Notamacropus eugenii: one gene and its partners. The protein of the gene in region 3 purifies or fractionates together with the protein of the main gene of each other region. This does not show direct contact. Links are inferred from orthologs where the notes say so. Each region holds a gene or a part of one and is shown on either strand. Other genes may lie near its edges.

What was found. Proteins that work in one complex are often made in the same cells at the same time.
Region 1: the proteins of H2AZ1 (region 3) and ACTR6 purify together in Homo sapiens (affinity purification with mass spectrometry; 4 studies listed by BioGRID and IntAct, with this or other methods). This does not show direct contact. The link is inferred for Notamacropus eugenii from reciprocal best matches to the Homo sapiens genes H2AZ1 and ACTR6.
Region 2: the proteins of H2AZ1 (region 3) and VPS72 purify together in Homo sapiens (affinity purification with mass spectrometry; 4 studies listed by BioGRID and IntAct, with this or other methods). This does not show direct contact. The link is inferred for Notamacropus eugenii from reciprocal best matches to the Homo sapiens genes H2AZ1 and VPS72.

The regions. Positions count from the first base shown.
Region 1 is NC_092874.1:283,108,110-283,115,122, forward strand, and holds the start of ACTR6 (actin-related protein 6), read left to right. Parts: upstream 1-3,999; 5' UTR 4,000-4,213; coding exon 4,214-4,281; intron 4,282-7,013. UniProt on the Homo sapiens protein: Required for formation and/or maintenance of proper nucleolar structure and function. Plays a dual role in the regulation of ribosomal DNA (rDNA) transcription.
Region 2 is NC_092873.1:305,027,767-305,035,076, reverse strand, and holds the start of VPS72 (vacuolar protein sorting-associated protein 72 homolog), read left to right. Parts: upstream 1-4,296; 5' UTR 4,297-4,502; coding exon 4,503-4,619; intron 4,620-7,310. UniProt on the Homo sapiens protein: Deposition-and-exchange histone chaperone specific for H2AZ1, specifically chaperones H2AZ1 and deposits it into nucleosomes.
Region 3 is NC_092878.1:137,931,109-137,937,337, reverse strand, and holds H2AZ1 (histone H2A.Z), read left to right. Parts: upstream 1-4,334; 5' UTR 4,335-4,349; coding exon 4,350-4,448; intron 4,449-4,597; coding exon 4,598-4,711; intron 4,712-4,828; coding exon 4,829-4,958; intron 4,959-5,264; coding exon 5,265-5,326; 3' UTR 5,327-5,707; downstream 5,708-6,229. UniProt on the Homo sapiens protein: Variant histone H2A which replaces conventional H2A in a subset of nucleosomes. Nucleosomes wrap and compact DNA into chromatin, limiting DNA accessibility to the cellular machineries which require DNA as a template.

The DNA.
Region 1 (7,013 bases), on a different chromosome or scaffold from region 3:
GTTCCCTATTACCTCTAGGGTCAAATATAGAACCTTCTGTTTAGCTTTTAAAGCTTTTCATAACCTGGGCCTTTTCTAGTTTTTCAATCTTCTTACACTTTATTCCCACCATATTTCCTTTGATCCAGTGACATTGGCCTCCTTGCTGCTTCATCTCCTGACTGGGCATTTTCACTGGCTGTTCTCCATGCCTGGAACACTATCCCACCTCATCTCTGCCTAAGTTCCTTGACTTGCTTGGAGTCTCAACTAAAGTGCCACTTTCTGCAAGAAATCTTTCCCAGCCCTCCTTAATCTTAGTGTCTTCCCTCTGAGACTGCTCCCAATTTATCCTGTCTTTTATATATACACTGTTGTTTACATGTCACCTCCCCCCATTAAACTAAGAGCTTCCTGAGAGCAAGGACTTTTTTTTTTTGGCCTTTCTATTCCAGCACTTTGCAGAGTACCTGGCATATTTTTATTGAGTTTTCATTCATGTCCAACTCTTCCTGACCCTGTTTGGGGTTTTCTTGGCAAAAATACTGGAGTGGTTTGCCAATTGTTTCTTCAGCGCATTGGACAGATGAGGAAACTGAGGCAAACAGGGTTAAGTGACTTACTCAGGGACACATGGTTAGTAAGGGTCTAAGGCCGGATTTGAAATCAGGAAGAGGAGTCTTCCTGACTCCAGGCTTGGCACTCTCTACTTTGGGCCCCTAGTTGTTCTGCCTGGCACATAGTAGGCGCTTAATAAGTTCAAGTTACTTTTTTCATTTATCCCACTAATTGGCAATTAGATGGCATATGGAATAGAGTGGTAGGCTTAGAGTCTGTGTTCTATCCTGTCTCAAATGTATACTAGCTTGTATGTGACTGTGGGAAAGTCACTTAACCTCATCAGCCTCATTTTTCCTTCTGAAAAATGGGGATAACATTGGTACCTCTCTCCCAGGGTTGCATGGCTCAAATCAGGAAATTTTTAAAGTGTTTTACAAATCTTAAAATGCCTTATATATTTTAACTATTTCATTAATTCAAGAGCTCATATTGTAGTATGGGGGAAGACAAAGGATGTAGGGTATAACATCTAAGGGGGGGGGGGTAACTGGGAAAAGCTTCCTGAGGTTCTGCTGGGCTTGAAATAGGGGAAGAGTTAAATTTTAAAAAATTGATGGTTTTCTGTTTGTATATTACCTTTATTTTCCAATATACCTATTCCCTCTTTCCTTATTTTCCTCAACATGTTCCATGATCAGAGGAGGAGGCCCTGGAGGCCATGAAGTCCTATGCAAACAGAAGCCCAGGGAGAGGACAGGATCACAGACCCAGAGCTGGAAGTGTCCACTGAATGAATGACTGCAGAACAGAAGAAAAGGTGAAAACCAGCTCAGCAAGAGTAATGAATACATCAACAAGACCACAGGATACAATTCAGTCTACACTTAGAGTTTTCAATCTCATCACAAAGGGAACTCAGTGCACTTTCTTATGCCTCCCATTGGACCAAGCCTGGTCCTGATAACCACACAATGTCAGGGTTTGATTCTTTGGCTACTGTTGAAAGAATGGAATGATTTCAGCAGGTAGAAATGTCAACTCAAGTAAAGCCAAGGAGCATTTATTTAGTGTCTACTATATGTCTACTGGGAATAGAGAGGCAAAAATTGGACCTGCCCTCAAGAAGCTGATAATCTAATGGAGTAAACAGCATGTCAGTTACCATGTACAAACAAAATAGGAAAAAAACAGAAATAATCAGCACAGCGAAGGCACTAGCATTAACAAGATGGGGAAAGGCAGGCTGTAACAGTCAGCTTTAGGTTTGTTTTTTTTAATTTTATTTTTGGTGGACTTGAAAATCATTTCCTCAAAGTTATTTTTTCTCCATCTTAAGTATGTCATAAACTTCCCTTTCTTCTTTTATACTTTCTTGTTAATTTTTTTTTGGCTTTTCCATTGGTTTTATTTCTGAACATACCCCTTCCCATTTTAAGTTTGCCCTTATAAGAAAGATAAAAAAAGAAAAACCAAAAACAGTTCAGTAAAACCAACATACCTACTATGTCTGATGAAATGTGTTGCACTTTGCTCTCATAGCCCAGTTTTTTCTTCAGTGAAAGGCATTTCCTTTACTTTCCAGGACATTTATCCAACAGATTATTTTCCTTCTAGCAAAGCACTTTCACAATATTCAACACACCATACCACTAATTAGCTTGAAGAACCCAAGTGAATCATGTCACTTCCCCGGCTCTGGGTTCACTCATCTGTAAAATGTAGGGGTTCAACCAATTTATCTTTGTGATTGCTGCCAGCTCTGAAGTTCTATAACTGTATGACTTTATCCTGCAGGCATACATTTGCCATGTGGATGTGGTAATTTGACTTGAAAAAAATGATGCCTCGGTGGATTTGAATTAAAATGCGTGTGTGTGTGTATGTGTGTAGAGACAGAGAGAGAAAGAAGGGAGGAGAAAAGAAAGGGAAACAAAGGGAGGGAGATGGAGAGAGGGAAACACACAGAAAGGGAGGAAGTGGTCCAATCTGTGAATTCATTGGTACAGGCCACTCCTCGTGAGGAAAACTGCCTCTATCTTTAGAGAATTTTATTTTTTAACTGACCCTATGATTTCTTGAAAGTGGAGAGCACTCAACGAGGAACTTCCTTTATCAATAGAGATCAGTACCTTTTCTGCGGCAGATAGTCTTGGAAAGGTTCCTGGGTGGATGGGAGACTTGACTTACTCAAGTCTCTGGATACCTGTCTGGATATGTCAGAGGCAAAAATCCCTGAACCCAGCTCATCCTCACTCAACTATCTACTTATTCTGGGAGGGCAGCTAGGTGGTGCAGCGGAGAGAGCACCAGTGCAGGAGTCAGGAGGACCTGAGTTCAAATCTCACCTCAGACACTTGGCACTCACTAGCTGTGTGACCTTGGGCAAGTCACTTAACCCCAATTGCCTCCTCCTGGGTCATCTCCAGTCATCCTGATGAATATCTGGTCACTGGATCCAGATGTCTCTGGAGAAGTGAGGCTGGTGACCTGCACAGCCCTCCCTCACTGAATACAAAGTCAAGTTCAAGTCACGTCCTCATTCCTCTGATGGCACGGTCTTCTTTGGCATCAAAGGATGAACACACTTATTCCGGGACAGATACATTTATTGAAACTGACGAACCTTTCTGCACAACTCTGCTGCTCAATGGATGGATACAGCATGTGCCCCTCCTCCCCAGCAGCCTTCCTCCAGGTGGGCGCTGGTTCTGCACCCTTGAGGTCTCTTCCTCAGGTTGGGGACCTCCACTCCAGGGGATACCCACACCAGCCAGGCGCAGCTCAGCCAGGGTGACCTTCCCACCTTCTGCACCCCACATCTCCGCGGTCCTGCCCCACTCATGTGGTAACAGCGGGGGGTCTTCCCTTCCTGATTCCTCTGTGAAGGCGAAGGAGGCTCTGTTTGCCTCGATCCTTCCCCAGCCTTTGATGACTGAATGGGCGTTAAGAAGGCCAGGGTGCCCTCGTGGGCCTGACCCACGTGTAGCCCCAGAGGAGACAGAGAGGCCTGGCCCGCACGTCACCGATCCTCCAGCGCTGTAAGGCGGCCAAGCCCTTTACTCACAATAACCTGGGGGGGGCGGGGAGGCGCTCTGGTCACCCCCATTTTACAGATGGGGAAACTGAGGCAGGGGCTGTGACTCGCCCACAGGGGGAATTGGAATCCGGCCTTTCGGATTCCGCGTGAATTCCACTTGAGTGTAAAAAAAGGACGGAAGCCGCGCTTTTCCCCTGCTTCCGTCAGTACCCCCAGGACGTGCCCGGCACTCGGGCACTCGTAAACGCTCCGTTCATTCACTCGTTCCAGCTCCGGCTCCCTCGGTCTCACGCCGGAGAGGCCTAGAGGGCCTGCAAGGCCCCTTCCTCCTCTGGACCTAGGATCCCACGAAGAAAGGCGCAGAGAGACACGCCCCCCTCCCGTTCCCGCCTTCACTTTTTTCCTCCACACGGACATCCCACTTCACTCCTCCTCACTGCGCAGGCGCGGAGCATCTGCCGCCCCCTCCTCACCACGTGATGGGGGAACGCCGCGAAAAGACTCCACCCAGCCGAGAGCGGCGCTCTCCGCCAGGCCAGACCATAGAGTAGTGACGGGCCGGAGGATCGGAAAGAGAGGGCCTCCTCCCGCGAAAACGGCGCCTGCGCAGTAGCTTCCTCTGCGGGCGGAGGGATAATGGCGACGCTGGTGCTGGATAACGGGGCCTACAACGCCAAGATCGGTTACAGCCACGACAGCGTCAGGTGAGCGGCCGCTTCTCGGCCGGGGGAGAGGAGGGGTGGGCGCACCTGGCGCCGGGGGAGGCTCGTCAGCGCCCCTGAGCTTCCCGCCTTTGAAGGGGAAGGGAGACTCCGTAGTCGATTTTTTGGCGGCTTCAGAGGGCCCGGAAGTAGGGGAGTTGTTGTGTTTGTAGCCGGAAGTCCCGCCTACGCACGTGGCGGCCGGGGTCCTGGACTGAGTGACCCGCTGGGAGGGGCCTCCGAGCTTCACCACCCGAAGAGGAAACTGAGGCCAGAGACGGCAGGTCTCGGCAAGATGTCAGGACTAGCAGACAGCCGACTCGGGTCCCGTGTGGGGGTGCAAGCTGAAACGGGCCCTGCACCCCTGGAGGTCCTGGCCCACTGACGCAGCCACGCATGTCTTTCCAGACTCCTTGCCTTTGCACTGGCCGTTCCCCATGCCAGGAATGCCTTCCTTTCCTCCCCACCCCCGCCCCTGGCTACTTTCCCCAGCTTCCTTCGAGGCCGGTTTCCTTTCCCCCCTTTATGGTTAAGGTTACTTTATAGACCCTCTCACAATTGTTGTCTCTCCTCCCCGCCTTGGGATGGGAGCTTTGTGGGCAGGTGTATTGTCTGTCTTCCTTATTTTTCCCTACCGTACAGTAAACATTTAATAAAGGCATCTTTCTACAGACTGGCCCCCGGGTCCTCGTCCCCCCTGCCCCGTGCCGGCCCCCCCCCCCCCCCCCCCCCCGCCCCGGACAGCCTGGGGCTTTGCTGCCTCCCAGGGTTGTCTCGGACATGCGATGTGTCGTGTTAACATGCTACGTGACTGGAAGGCCCGTGTATACTCTGGAAGAACGCAGACTGCGCTGTCAGCAGGGGGTCCCTGTCCCCCTCCTCCCTTCCATCTTCTATCCTCTGTCCCCGCTGCCTTTGGGTGACATGCGGACCGCGCTGTCAGCAGGGGGTCCCTGTCCCCGTCCTCCCTTTCATCTTCTATCCTCTGTCCCCGCTGCCTTTGGGTGACATGCGGACCGCGCTGTCAGCAGGGGGTCCCGGTCCCCCTCCTCCCTTCCATCTTCTGTCCTCTGTCCCCGCTGCCTTTGGGTGACACGCGGACCGCGCTGTCAGCAGGGGGTCCCTGTCCCCCTCCACCCTTCCATCTTCTGTCTTCTGTCCCTGCTGCCTTTCCGTGCTAGCGGGTGCATGTGCACAGTCAGGATGTGCTGACTGACAAGCAGCAAGTTTTGAAGCTCCAGTGGTCTTCTAAGAATCTGGGCAAACAGTTTAACATTGAGAGATCTTTATGCCCCTGGCACACATCCTTTCCTCCGCATTTCTGTCACAGACATCTGATCACCTACTATGTGCAGGACATCATAGACATTTAAAAATATATACGCTCCTCAAAGAACCCGGATCATGAGACATATACACAAATACCTGTAAAACAAGGCAGGTGAGCTCTATAGAAGTGTTGTCTGCAAAATGCCATGAGAAAATCTGGGAGAGAAGAATTACTTTTGGTTAGGACATCAGGAAAGCTTTGAGGAGAGACCTTGATTTTCTTTTCTTTTTTGGATTTTATTTATTTGTTTTTAGTTTTCAACATTCACTTCTATGAGTTCTAAATTTTCTCCCCCTCCCTCCATTTCCCCCTTCCCAATATGGTGTGCAGTCTCATGTAGGCTCTACATATACATTCTTATTAAACGTATTTCCACATTCGTCATGTTGTAAAGAAGAATTAGATCTAAAGGGAAAAACCACAAGAAAGAAGAAACAAAAGGGAGATAATCATGCTTTGATCATCTTTCCAGCTCTGCAGTTCTTCTCTGGATGTGGATAGCACTTTCCATCATGAGTCTTTTAGAAGTGGAGACCTTCATTTTCTGCCCAGCACATCCAGCCCTTACTAAATGTGACCATGGGCAAGCCAAGAGTGATGCAGGGATAATATCACCTGTAGTATCCTTTTCATAGGGTTGCCATGATAATCAAGTGGAAAAATATGGAACACTTTGCACGTCTTAGAGTCTCTGTAAACATCTCCCTCTGCTTTCTGTGCAAGCATTTTGGGGTGACATTGAAAGGGGAGCCATTGGCTAGCAGGATGGGGTAGGAGGGCATTGCAGGCAGAGGAAGTATTAGCAAAGCCTCAGGGGAGAAAAAAGAAGGGGAGAAGTCAGAAATGAAACTGGCGTGGTAAATTGTGGAAGGTCTTGAGCTTGACTAGGAAGTTTGGGCTTCATCTCAAGGTGTTTGTGAACCGTTGAAGTAGGTTTTGGATAAGGGAGGAACTGGATCAGAGCTGTTCCCCAAAACTGGGATTTTTAGACATGCTTCCTTGGTGAACTCTCTGTCCCAGTGATTTTTATTCCCAGCTTCTTTCTGGTCCAGTAATACTTACAACAGTGCTTCAAGACATCACATTCTCTGTGGTAATACAACATTATATCAAAGTAGACTTCTAGGGAGCATCCTTCTCATCTAGCTTTTTGGTCAGAAGTAATTGATGACAGGCCTTGTAGCAATCTGGGCTGCTGTGTCTAGTTTACCATGTAGACTACCGCCATGTTGTGCTTCTATCATGGATATCATTTTATGCATCTGCAGAAGAGCCTCTGGAATGAAAGCCTAGGTCCCTTGTCTATCCCTTCCTAATCTGATCCCCTCTATCTGTCTACCTCTCCCATTGTGAATGCTTTACTCATTGGGCAGATCCTTGCTGGCCCTTCCACCACAGATGTTAG
Region 2 (7,310 bases), on a different chromosome or scaffold from region 3:
GTCAAGTTCCAAGAGCCCCGCCTCCGAGATCTACGTGGGGCCCTCCCTCCTGATGTTCCTCAGGATCATCTTCCCGCGTATTCATTCATTCGCGACACGTTTATTAGACTCATTCCGAAGCTGTCAGGCCTCTCCCACAAGCTTCGGAACACACCCGATCACATACTGGCCAAGCAAAGCTTCTGAATGAGTGCAGATCGCCGGGGTCAGAAGGCCGTGGTCAGTGGGTCCTATCACAGGTCATCTAACCCCATCCAAAAGCCATCACGCAGCTCCTGTTCTCAGCCAAGAGTTCTTGTAGGTTCAAAGGAAAATAGGCACAAGACAGAGAGTTCGCTGACATTTCCATCCTGTCGTCTTTGTCCATTCGGTTCCAACAAAGTCTGCCAGAAGTATTGTGGAAATTTGGAGAAGGGAGAAGATCTTTTCTTCCCTATATTCATTTACCCCACGATTATATAAGCTTACCTTGGCAGTATGCTTTCTAGAGATGTACATATTGATCATGAGATTGGAGCTCGCGTTGCCAGAACTTTGCTCAGTGTTTGGGAGGCTCCCAAGGAAAGAGTGGGAAAGAAAAGATATTAGACTATCAAACTGAAGGTCTACAGACTGATTGTGCTGACCTCACGGTTCTATGCTTGTGAAACATGGACACTTTACCAGCTCCATGGCAGGAAACTGAATCGCTTCCATTTGAATTGTCTTAGGAAGATTCTGAAGATCACCTGGCAGGATAAGGTACTGGACCCTGAGGTCCTTCCTAAGACTAAACTGCCAAGCTCTACTGCAGAGTGAAAGTTCAACAGACTGATCACATTGTTCAATTACCAAATGTACACTTGCCTAAAAGACTGTTTTATGGAGAACTCACACAGGGCAAGTATTCACATGGTGGTCTGAAGAAACAGTACAATGTCTTTCCTAAGAACTTTGGAATTGCCAAAAGACTAATGAAAAACGCTATCCATATCCAGAGAAAGAACTACAGTCTGAATGCAGTTCAAAGCATACTATTTTTTCTTCTTTTTTGTTCATTTTTGTTCATGGTTTTTCCCTTTTGTTCTGATTCTTCTTTCACAAAATGACTAGTGCGGAAATATGTGTAAGATGATTGTATATGTATCAGATGGTATGTTGTCTTGGAGAGGAGAGAGGGGAGAGAGAGGAAATTTAGAACTCAAAATCTTATAAAAGTGAATGTTGAAAACTAAAAATTAATTTAAAAAACCAACCAAACAAAAAAAGAACTTTGGAATTGATTGTGTGACATGGGAGACACTGGCACAGGACCACCCAGCATGGTGTGCGCACATCAGAAAGTGTGCTGTGCTCTATGAGCAAAGCAAAATTGAAATTACTAAAAAAAAAAAAAAAATGCAAGATGTGTATTTACACATTTACAGAATCCACCCCAAATATTCACATAGAATATTTGTGTCCGATCTGTATTAGAACAATTCGAGCTTGAGTGGGTCTGATCAGCCACAGTTAGAGGCATTGTAACCTGACTCTAACATAGTGATGTCATTTTGGTCTTGGAGAAGGAAGGACAACAACCAACCAATATGCACCAAATGAACTTTGCTATCTCTTACGCCTAGGAGAAGTCAGGAACTATAGTAATTGCTCCTTGCTGCCATCTACTGGACTTTTTGGTTTTGTTTGTTTGTTTTGGTTTCCCCCCAAATAATGGGTTGCCCATACCAAGCTTTGCAAAGGAGGGAAGAGGGAGGGTAGTTTGGTATATTGGAAAAATTACTGAATTTAGATTCAGACAGGGGACTTGAGTTATGGTCCTGGCTGGACTAGCTTTAACTAAATTATTTAAATTTTCTGTTCTTGTTAGATTATGCCCGATTCTTCGTGACCCCTTTTAGGGTTTACTTGGCAAAGATGCTGGAGTGGCTTGCCATTTCCAGCTCATTTGACAGATGAGGAAACTGAGGCCAACAGGGTTAAGTGACTTGCCCAGGGTCACACAAACTAGTAAGTGTCTGAAGCCAAATTTGAACTCAGGAAGATGAGTCTTCCTGACTTGAAGCCCTATGTTCTACCCACTGTACCACCAGCTGTCCATAACCTTTCCAGGGTTCTGCTATTTCACCTATAAAAGGAGAGGACTGGATATGATCCTGTGAGCTGGTACGAGAGTAGGAGATTTTGAAAACAGATTCTACATGCCTATGAAAATTCTCACAGAGAAAATAATACTGCCCAAGGAGGCTAGGGTTTCTTTCATATAGTGAGTCACTTCTACAATCAGCAGATATGAGAATAAAACTGAGATTAAATTAAAGTTGGACATATCTCCATGACTCTAACCAAAGTGGAATCCAGCCATATGAAGGAAACTCATCACCCTCAGCAATACCTCTGGATCCAGAAGAGAGTGGGATTTGAATGACAAAAACCGCCTCTGTCTACCAGTTTCTTTCTGGCCTAGGAAATTTAATTTTCTCTCCATGTATTAGAAAAGGAATCAGAGTAAAGAGTAATTATATATTCATAACTAAACAAGAGAGGTCAGGGAATGGGCAAGGACATAATGAAGGATTCCTCCTTCTCAATCTTGACTCATGCAGGGGCAGTATGCTCTTCAGGCAAGGCAGCCCCCCCACCCTCTTCTCTGCAACGTTCTGTTTGAGTCATATCCCTGATCTTCCCTAGCAACATTCCTGGCATAGCACATGAGGACACAGGATGATGTGGCAGGGTGTGGGGGAAAGGGTAGGGCAGATTGGTTTTGCACTCCTTAGGAAGTAGGAAAAGGAGCTAATCTCCATTTCCACTAGAAAAGGGAAAATGGCATGATACCTCTAAAAAGAATCATAGAAATAATCCCGTATATATGAGAGACAGTTTGGCATTGTTGATTGATCTCCAAAACATATTGGATTAAGAACAGGTGGAAGGGATGGAGGAGAGGCAAGAAGCTTAGGAATCTTTTTTTCCCCTCAATTATGTTTTTAAAAATTACAAAGTTGAAGTAAATTTACAGGAAAAATATAGCATTAAACTCTAACCTAGTTATCCCATACAGGTTGGACTAGTTTGCCCACTGTGATATCTTTTCCAGCTCTAAATCTCTGCAATTCTGTGAAATTATCTTTTGATCTTTATACATCCGAATAAGGGTCAGACTCCACTGATTTACCTCACCCAATTAAAAGTAACTGCTTTTTTTTTTTTTTTAAGGTAAGAACACGTCTTGATTGAATCAATCAGGCAGAATCAAGTCTGAACAGGGACTACTTACTTCATGCTGGTCTATCCACAGACACTACAGTATAAGCTGCTGTATTGTTACTCGAATATTTCTAGTAAATTGAATTTTGCCTAAATAATAAAGAGGCTATGGGTTAACTACATGTGTATATATAATATATGCCTGCATGTTAATTACTGAATATATTAACATTATATTATATATGTATATGTACATGTACATATATGTATATATGAAGTTAGACAAATAGTCCAATCTCTATCTCAATGTTAGGAATTTTTTTACTTAGGAGCTTGAAGCAATTGTGACTGAATTTATAACTTTTCATCTGAAATATTCTCCCTAAAGCTGAAGAGAAGAAAAATCATAGGGACCTTGCATGCCCTCCGAGGCTTAAAAGAAGCTAGTTATTGTAATACTGTGTTATATATACACGTGCATGTGTTTTTATATATGCTGTACACATACATCTATGTGTATATATACATAGCAAACCTTAAAGTGCTACGTACAAATGCTATCTTCATCATCATTTCCAGAGGAATTATAATGAACATAAAAGATCTCAAAGAGCCTTGTACAATAATGATAATAATGGTTGACTTTTATATATAGGTCTTATTATGTCAGGCACCGTGCCAAGCGCTTTAAAATATTATCTTGATTTCCACACCAGGCGTATGACAGGTGCCATTTTCATGCCCATGTTCTATATCTGTAGCATTATTTTACATAAGCATTTCCTCGTTTCGACCTCGTCCCCACATCACTTTTAACAGCTTTGTTGACAAACCCTGCTTTGGCAGACGTCTGCGCCTTGTGCTAGAGCCCCAGCCTGGGGATGAGAAGCCTTTCTGACACTGATTCGCTGGGTGACCGTTTCTGTTCTTTTAAAAGAGGCTGAATGACACACTCTTCCAACTCTAATGCCACCACCCAAAAACGGATTGAACCCAGACCCAGTGCCTCTCACGTCCTAGTTTACTGGAAATTGCTGAGAGCTTGAGGGGCGGGGAGAGGAGAAGTAGGCGGCCCTAGAGGGAAGGGGGCGGAGCTGTCGAGGCTCCGTGCCAGGAGGCCGGGCTACGGAGAGGGAGGGGTGGAGGAGCAGGGCGGGGCCGCTCCGGAGCTCGGCTCTATCCTCAGCTCGGCGCTCGGCTGCTTCTGCCTGTAACGATTTCTCCTTTCCGGCGGCGACGCTAGGCAGGCGGAAAGCACCGAGCGCCGAGCGAGCTCGGGTCCGCCGCCGGTGACGGCTGGAGCCGGAGGAGGGATGAGCTTGGCTGGGGGCCGAGCACCCCGGAAGACCGCTGGGAACCGATTGTCTGGGCTCTTGGAGGCAGAGGAGGAAGATGAATTCTACCAGACCACTTATGGGGGGTTCACAGAGGCAAGAGCTGGGCCCAGGGAGGGGGCGGGGCTGCGCGAAGGGGTCTGAAAAAGGGCCGGGGGAGGGGGAGGGGGATCGGAGAGTGGCGAGCAGGGGGGAGGGGCTCCCCTCGGCCTTCGCCCTCCGCTGCCCCTGCCTGGGACAGCTGTCGGGAGAGGAGGCCCAGGCCGGTATTTCTGGATCCTTCCCCGGCCGGGGCATCAGGCATCCGCTAGGCCTGGGTTCCAGTGCAGCCTCTGACATTCATCAGCCGTGTGGCCCTGAGCAAGTGACTTCCCTCCCGCCTGCCTCAGTTTCCTCATCTGTCCGCAGTGGGGATGATGATGACGACACCAATAGCCAGCGTTTATGGAGTGCTTTATAAGTATTATTTCATAATAGCACTTACCTCCCAGGGTTGTTGGGGGAATAAATGAAAGAATATTTGGAAGGCGCTTCATGCTAGCCGTAATGATCATCATCCTCTATTCCGTTAGAAATTACAGTAAATTTTAAAGATTGCCAAACACCATATAACTAGGATTACAAGGGCTGCCATTTATGCTTATTATGTGCCAGGAGGTTCCAGTGATTGTGTTTTTGGTGGAGGAGGCACTCAGGGTTAAGTGACTTGCCCAGGGTCACACAGATATAGTAAGTGCCTGAGGGCAGATTTGAACTCAGATCCTCTGGACTCCAGGACCAGTGCTCTCTCCCCTGCACCACCTGCCTGACCCAGACCCAGATGACTCTGAAGGATAAAGTGAGGCTGGTGATTTTGCACAGCCCTTCCTCACTTAAATCCAATTAACTTGTGCATCATGACATCACCTTCCTGATGTCATGGAGAAGGAAGGACAAACAACTATGTGCCAGATCCTTCATTAAGTCCAACACAGTCCTATGAGATAGGTGCTGTTACCATCCTCATTTATAGATGAGGTAACTGAAAACTGAGGCTCCAAGAGATCAAATAATCATAAGCATTTATGAAGCACTTTACAAGTATACTCTTATTTTATCCCCACAACAACCATATTTACAGATGGGAAACCTGAAACCTGAAACACAGAGAGGGTAAGTATCTGAGGTCAGATTTGACCTTAGGTCTTGGTGACTTCAAGTTGCGCTGCATAGTTCCTTTACAGATTTGATTCTGAGTCATAGCACTAATAAAGGTCTGAAGTGAGATTCAATCTTTGGGTCTTTTGGACTACAGGGGTAGTGTTCTTATCCGTGAGGAGATTGAGAAGGGTCCCTAAGCAGTTTGGAGGTTATTTAAACAATCAGTTTGTGAACACTAGGGAAGTGATGAGCAGAGTGAACATATAATTACATGCGAACAAGTGATGGTAATTACCAAGAACAAGAGGCAGTTGGTGGCTCAGTTGGTAGAGCACTGGACTTGGAGTCAGGGAGACGAATTCAAATCCAACCTCGCACACTAGCTGTGTGATCCTGGGCAAGTCCCTTGGCCTCTGCCTCAGATTCCCCAACAACTTCCCCTGGTTCTTGTGAAGATGAAGTGAGGTAACATTTGTAAAGTGCTTACTTAACACAGCTGCTGGTACATAGTAGCATGATATAAACGCTAGGCTAGCAATTGTTATTATTATGCCAGACTGACTTCATTTCTTAGGATCATAAATTTAGAGTTGGATGGGGCAAATAAATTTAGAGCTGTAAAGGTCATGTGGTCTAGCCTTTTTATAGTATGTATAAGGAAAAGCAGGTCCAGAAAGTTGTGATTTACTCAGGGTTACATAAGTAGTAAGCAAAAAAGTCTGGATTTAAATTGAGGTCATCTGACTCCAAGCTTGGTGTTCTTTGCATTCCATGTTTGGTTTGTTCTTTTTTTAAAGAGGTTGTCAAGGGAATGCTTTAGCCATAGTGAACCCAGATTTCTGTAAAGGGTATAACAGTTCTTTATGAGATCTTTATATACAGATGAAGAGAGCTCCATGATAGCATAGTTAAGCGGAAATCTAGATGGAGCCTTTTATCCAAAAAATGTTGGGTTAATAGATCTCCTCACCTGGGGCTCTGTCTTCTGTTTCTTGCTGTTCTATAGTTTTCATCAAAGATGGGGATGAAGGCACAGATATACCTTATTTATAGAATTTGTAAATAACCCTAAGCTAAGAGAAAGTTTTGGATGAGATACTTAGGCTTCAAAATTTTTGGCCTATTGATGTATCATGAAATTTAATAGACATAAATGTAAAATACAGCTCCAGGGTTAAAAACTTAAACTGTATGGGTACAGAATGGAATGGTTCACATGAAACAGCAGTTCGTCTTAAAACAGATCCCGAAGATTTAGAGGAATCATAGAGTTGGCCAGGGATCTCAAGAGTTCATCTAGTCCAACCTGTGCCCAAATAGGAATCCCCTCCACAGTGTTCCTGACAAGTGCTTTACTCAGCCTTCTGACTGAATGCTTCCATTGATGGGGAACTCATCACATACAGCACATTCCTGTTCTAGGATAGTGCCAATGGTTAGGAGATATTTCTTTACATTTAATATTAATCTGCTTTTCTGTTTGTTGCATTCTTTGCTCCCATTCCTCTCCTCTGGGACAAAGCCAAACAAATAATCCTTTTCAACAAATACTCCTTTTCCACATGAGAGCCTTTCAGGTACTTGAGGGCAGTTACCACATCCTCCCTTAGTTTTCTCTAGACTAAACATCCTATCTCCTTCATCTGA
Region 3 (6,229 bases):
TGTCACTTTAAATGGACATATCTAAGATGGAATTCATCTTCTGCTTGATCCTACTCAGGATGGCCCTATTTCTGTTGACAGCAGCATCATGGCTGTGCTAGTCATCTAGATTGGAAACCTGAGTCATTCTGGACACACCTTCTTCCCCCCTTCCTTCCCTTTCTATTATCTAATCAGATGCTAAATCCTATTAATTTTTTCTTTCACTTTCTTTTTCTTCCCTCTGTCACAACCATAGTTCAGGATCCTGTTACTTCACACTTAGACTATTATAATAATGGTCTTTTAACTGAGCTCTTGTATTGTTACACTGGCATCCCACTTGTCATATGTCTTTCTAGTTCTCTAATCTAGCTTTCAAGTAAGGACCTGGAATATAGGAATGATATGTTTTTTTAGATCTGTCCATACTGTTGGGCCCTCAAATATTTTTGTAATTTTGTTCAATCAAAAGTCTAAAACTGTATCAGACTTGAATAAATTATATATTGAACAGGAATGCTCTCAATTTCTCAAGACTTGTATGAAGGTATAGCTGTCATTCTTATCGAATATGTCTCTCTCAGTCATTTTTTGGTCATGTCCAACTCTCCATGACTCCATTTGGGGTTTTCTTGGTAAAGATACTGGAGTGGTTTGTCATTTCCTTCTCCAGTTCATTTTCCAGATGAGAAACTGAGACAAACAGGGTTAAGAGACTTGCACAGGGTCTCCCAACTAGTGTCTGAGGCCACATTTGAACGAAGGTGAGTCTTCCCGACTCCAAGTCTGGCACTCTAGCCTGGCACTTTATACAAGGATTGGTTGAAGGAGTTGGGCAAATCTGTTTAGTCTAGAGAAGAGAATGCTTTGGATGTAAATGATAACAGTGTTAAATACTTGAAGAGTGATCTTGGAAGAGGAGTTAGACAGTTAGACAGACCACACCTTGGCTAGCAGAACTAGGAACAACACAGAATTTGTGTATTAATGAGGTCAGACTTTGGAGTCAGAGAACCTGAAATGACATCCAAGCTCTAATGCTCACTACTTATGCAACTGATGGATTCACAGCCCATCTAGAGCCTTTTGGTGCCTCTCTATGAAATGAATGAGCTAAACTCCGTGGAAGGAACTGTATTAGTTTTTGTGTGAATGAGATATTGGGGATGACTGATCCTTCCCACTTTACTCTTCCCTTCTTTTTGCTCCTCCATGGCCCCTTCTAGTGCTACATACACTAGGCATCTCAAGCAATTGATAAAGTAGATTGGCCCCTTAAGAAGAAAGGGATGGGGAGGGTGGGGTTTCTGACCCTTGAAATATAAAGAGGCTTAGCCCTGAGGGGGAACCGAGTCCTCAATTCTGCAATTACCTGGGGGGGGGGGAGAGGTAAATTGATGCCTTCTTTTCTGGATGATGGTTGTTTGTGGTGACTACCAAAGGTAATATTTTCTATCCCTTTAACTTTGGAATTATGCCCTTTTAAAACCCGCCTAAGTAAAGTTGGTTTTTCATTTGTGTTTTATGTTCCAGTTATATTTTAAACCTTGAATCTGCTTAAGGCTTGGCCTATAATACACTAGATTATCTCTAAATTCTCTTTTAGCTCAAAATTATATGATCATATGCTTCAGAGTAGCAGGCAGACCAGTTTGATGGAAGAAAAAGGTTTCTAACAAGGAGAGCCATTCCAAAGCTCAATGGGCTGCCTGAGTAGTAAGTTCTCCAAGAATTTAAAAAAAAGTGTATTAAGTGTTTACTATATTCCAGGGCACTGGAGATACAAAAAGGCAAACTGTTTCTGCCCTCAGGGAGTTTATATTCTAATAGGAATAGACAACACAAGTGGGTAAGTGGTGACCTTGGAAGGGTGTTTTGACCTGGGAAGCTGATTTGATTACTGATCGAAGAGCTAGAGATGGAAAGGGGAAAGGTATGGAGACTACCTATGAGAGCACTGGGGCAAGGTTAGCGCTGGGGCTGGGTTCTGAGTTATACATGGAGGGCTTTGAAAATTCCAGGGTACCAGGTTGATACCAAGCCACCAGGTCCTAGAAGCAGAGGCTGGAATCAGGTTGCATGAAGATGGAGGGAGACAGTCTTCAATGATCACATCAGGGATTCCTAATCCCTGACCTCTGAAGTCCTTTCCCATTCTTAGCCCAACTCACTAAATAGCCAGATCAATGAAGTTAACAAGCCACCCAACATTTATTAAACACGTACTCATATTTATGTTCACAGAGTGGTTTGATACTCCCAGAAAAACACAAGAAACAGAAATCATGGTCCTTCAGGGAATGCACAGCAAGTGTTAATGATTTTTACTGATAAGAGACACAAAACACATAAACATCGCACCATCTAGTTGGGAGTAGTATGAGATAGGAACGGTTTATAACGAAGGGCGGACAGGCTTGGCATCGCTCTGGATGTCGACAAAACGGAAACAATCCAAGTGCAGTCCTCCCCGCGCCTACAGGAGCCAGGCCAGCCCGTCCATCGGCCCAGAGTTGTTCTGGCACTAGCGACAACAGGTTGGAGCTGAGCACATCCACACCTGGTCTAAAGGCATGCCCTGGGGAGCTAGGAGCCACCTTCAGACCGCGTGGCCGGACTCCTCGGAGCCACGATCCTGGGGTCCTCAGTCCCACCGAAGCGGTCTGGTTCCAGGAAGAACTCCGGGGAGGGAACACAACCGTCCCCCGCCGGTCATCCCAGGACCAGGGAGAGGCGAGCGAGGCGAGGGCGAAATCCAGCATCTCCCCACTTCTCTTCTTCCAACACGGTTTTCGGCAAAATAACGAGAGCAGTGACCAGTGCGCAACGCTGCCTGGCGGACCGCAGGCGCCGGTTCCGGGCTCAGCGCCCCCAGCTCTGCACGGCATCACGTTTCCATCGGAGCTCTCAGGGCTGGGCTGCGCTCCCGGCACCACCGCGAGTACCGGGCGGAAGGGAGGGCCCGATCCCTGTCCAGCACGGGGGTCCGCGCCGGCCTCCGCCCGAGCACCGGGAGCTCGCCCCCGCAGCCCCGCGGAGGAGGGGAGTCCTCTCGGCGACTTGTCAAAGCAGCCCCAAGCGGAGCCTCCAGGCCCGGGCCTCCGAGAACGAACGGCGCACCGTCGCGGGCAGCCAAGGAGGCAGCCCGAGGAGGGGACGCCGGCCCCGCACCAACTCCGCGGGCCGTGCCCACGGTCGGCGAGGGGCAGACGTGCACGTCCCGCAGCCGAGCGTCGAGGGGAGAGAAGCGGCGCATCTGCGGCGGTGGCTCGGCGGCCGCTCGCTCCCCGCTCCTTTGTGGCCGCTTCCTCGGGGCTCGGCGGGGACCCCCTACTGCGGCCCGTGCAGGCCTGCGGGCTCCTATCGACGGCACCGCCGCGGCTAGTCGGGACGCGGGGAGGCTGTCTTCCGGGCCCCGTCGGCCGGCCGGGTGAGCGGGCGACGCTGGCCGGTCTCAGAGTCAAGGGCGTGGGGGAAGGGAGTCGGCCGGGCCCGGCAGGCTCGGGCGCCCCGGCGGGGAGCCTCGGCGCGCGCCCTTCCTCCGCGCCGCCCCCAGTCACGTGACGCCGGCTGGCTGGCTGCTCTGCGGGAGCGCCTTCGCTTGCTCCATTTCTCCCCCTCCCTTCCTCCGGCCTTCCCTTTCATTTCCCCCCCCCGCCCCGCCCCCACCCTGACACCAGCTCTCGCTAGAGCGACGAGAAGCCCGCCCCCACGTCCTCCGGCTTCTCGAGCTCATTGGCTGAGGCGGCGAGGACGCGTCTCCAGGGCGAGTGGCAGCCATTGGTGCGGGGGGCGATCCGAGTTCCCGGATGAGGGAACATTCTGCAGTATAAAGGGAGCGGGGAAGGCGGGAGACAGCGCAGTTTGAATCGCGGTGCGCCAGAGCAGTAGCCGGCGGGATCTCTGCCCGGGTGTTTGCTTGGTCCACTCTCGGCCGTGAGCGTGTGTGCGGGAGAGGTTCACGCTTAACTCAAAATGGTAAACTTAGCACAGGGGCCTGAAGGATTCCGCGGGCTGGAGAAGGGGGAGGGGAGCGGGGGAGGACGCCGTTACCCCCGGGGACTGGGGAGGGGAGCGGCGGTTGGGGCGCGCGCGCGCGCGCCTGCTCGGCTTCGGAGAGGAGAGGGGGACGGTTGGGGGGAGGGAGCCGCCTCCGGGCTCGTGGCGGCGGCGACGGTTGGTGGCGCGCGTGCGCGGCGGCGCGCGCTCCCGGCGGCCCGCGCGCGGCTGGTGGAGCGCCGCCGGCCCCCCCTCCCGCCCGCTCGCGCCCGGGGCCATGCTCCGGCCGGGCGTTGGGAGGCCCCGCGGAGGGGGAGGGGTCCTGGCCGGGCTGAGCGCCTCCACCCCCGCCCCCTCCTCCCGCCCGCATGGGTGTGTGCCCCCTCCAGGCTGGCGGGAAGGCTGGGAAGGACTCCGGAAAGGCCAAGACAAAGGCGGTTTCCCGCTCGCAGAGGGCCGGCTTGCAGGTCAGTGGGGATGGCCCCTCCGGGCGGGCGGGCGGGTCTCCTCGCGCGTGGGCCGGGGCAGTCACGTGTGCCCGGGTCGGGATTTGGCGGGAGGGGCCCCGCCCGGCCGGATCTTAATTGTGCATTCTCGGGGGTGTGTTTTCTCCAAGTTCCCCGTGGGCCGCATTCACCGGCATCTGAAGTCGCGGACGACGAGCCACGGACGCGTGGGCGCCACGGCCGCCGTGTACAGCGCAGCCATCCTGGAGTATCTGACTGCAGAGGTGAGGGGGCCGGGCGCCGCGGGGGTGGGGGGGGCGGGGAGGGGCGCCCGCACGGAGCAGAGCCGAGGAGGTGCGGGACGCGGTGACGGCAACCGCATCCCGGCTCTCCCCACGCAGGTCCTGGAGCTGGCAGGAAATGCATCGAAAGACTTGAAGGTGAAGCGCATCACCCCTCGCCACTTGCAGCTCGCCATCCGTGGGGACGAGGAATTGGACTCGCTGATTAAGGCCACCATTGCCGGGGGTGGTACGTAGCCCACTTACCTACCTTGCAAAGTTTGGGTCGGGCTTGCGCTTGCTTCTTGCGTAGGAATCACGAGTGACTTTGAGAGCCCCTTCATATTCAGGCAGTTTGTACTGTGTGTGGAAGCTCCCTGAAACAAACTGGATTAACAAGATAGAGTCTACTCTCGATGGCAGTTGGACAAAGTAACCTTTTAGTTAAGAACCTAAAGAAGGGCAAATAGAGATTCTTTTTTGGTGCTTTTAAATAGTTAACTTGCATGGAACCTTAAAAAAAAAGAAAGCTTCTAATCCTCTAACACTCTTATAGGTGTGATTCCACACATCCATAAATCTCTGATTGGAAAGAAAGGACAACAGAAGACTGTTTAAAGGATGCCTGGATTCCATGTTATCTCAGGACTCTAAATACTCTTAACAACTGTCCAGTGTTGGTGATTTCCAGTGGACTGTATCTCTGTGAAAACCACAATTTTGCCTTTTTGTAATTCTATTTTGATTAAGTTGGAAGCTTACTTAGCTTTCCAGCTAACCAAATTTCTGCATTGAAGTCTTAACCATATTTAAGTGTTACTGTGGCTTCAAAGAAGCTATTGATTCTGAAGTAGTGGGTTTTGATTGAGTTGACTGTTTTTAAAAATCTGTTTGGATATTAATTGTGATGCAGAAGTTATAGTAACAAACATTTGGTTTTGTACAGACTTTTATTTACACTCTGGTGGATAAGTTCAATAAAGGTCATATCCAAAACAAGTTTGTTTCTTGAATTTTCGTGTATTGTAGCACAGACTTAGGTCTGTTGGATCCAAATAATCTTAACTCAAATGAGCCATTTGAAAATAGGAGGCCTGGTAACTTAAACATAGGTTTCTCCTGATCAACTAGAATACAAAATAAGTTCAACCAGAAGCAAATCAAATACATCTGTGGCTCTAATAGAAATAGAAGATGCATTAAAAATTATTAAAAGTTATGACACTTTTTATCAAAGGTTGAGAAGTTCGTCAACAGGGTCTTCTCCTCAGTTTGTGTACATACCTATGTACCTCCGTCCCCACTGTCATAACTTTGCCAGACATCATCTTAAGCAAAAGATGGTGGTATAGCTTATCACAAAATTAATGGTAGGTGGAGACATAGGCTATTCATCCTGAAACATAATCCTTGGATGAAGTAGACCAAACTATAGATAGCGGCCTATGAAGGAAGGATGATAGCTATTAATAATGAATGAGTCTTATATACCTGTATAGAATTTCTTTTTATAAAAGACTA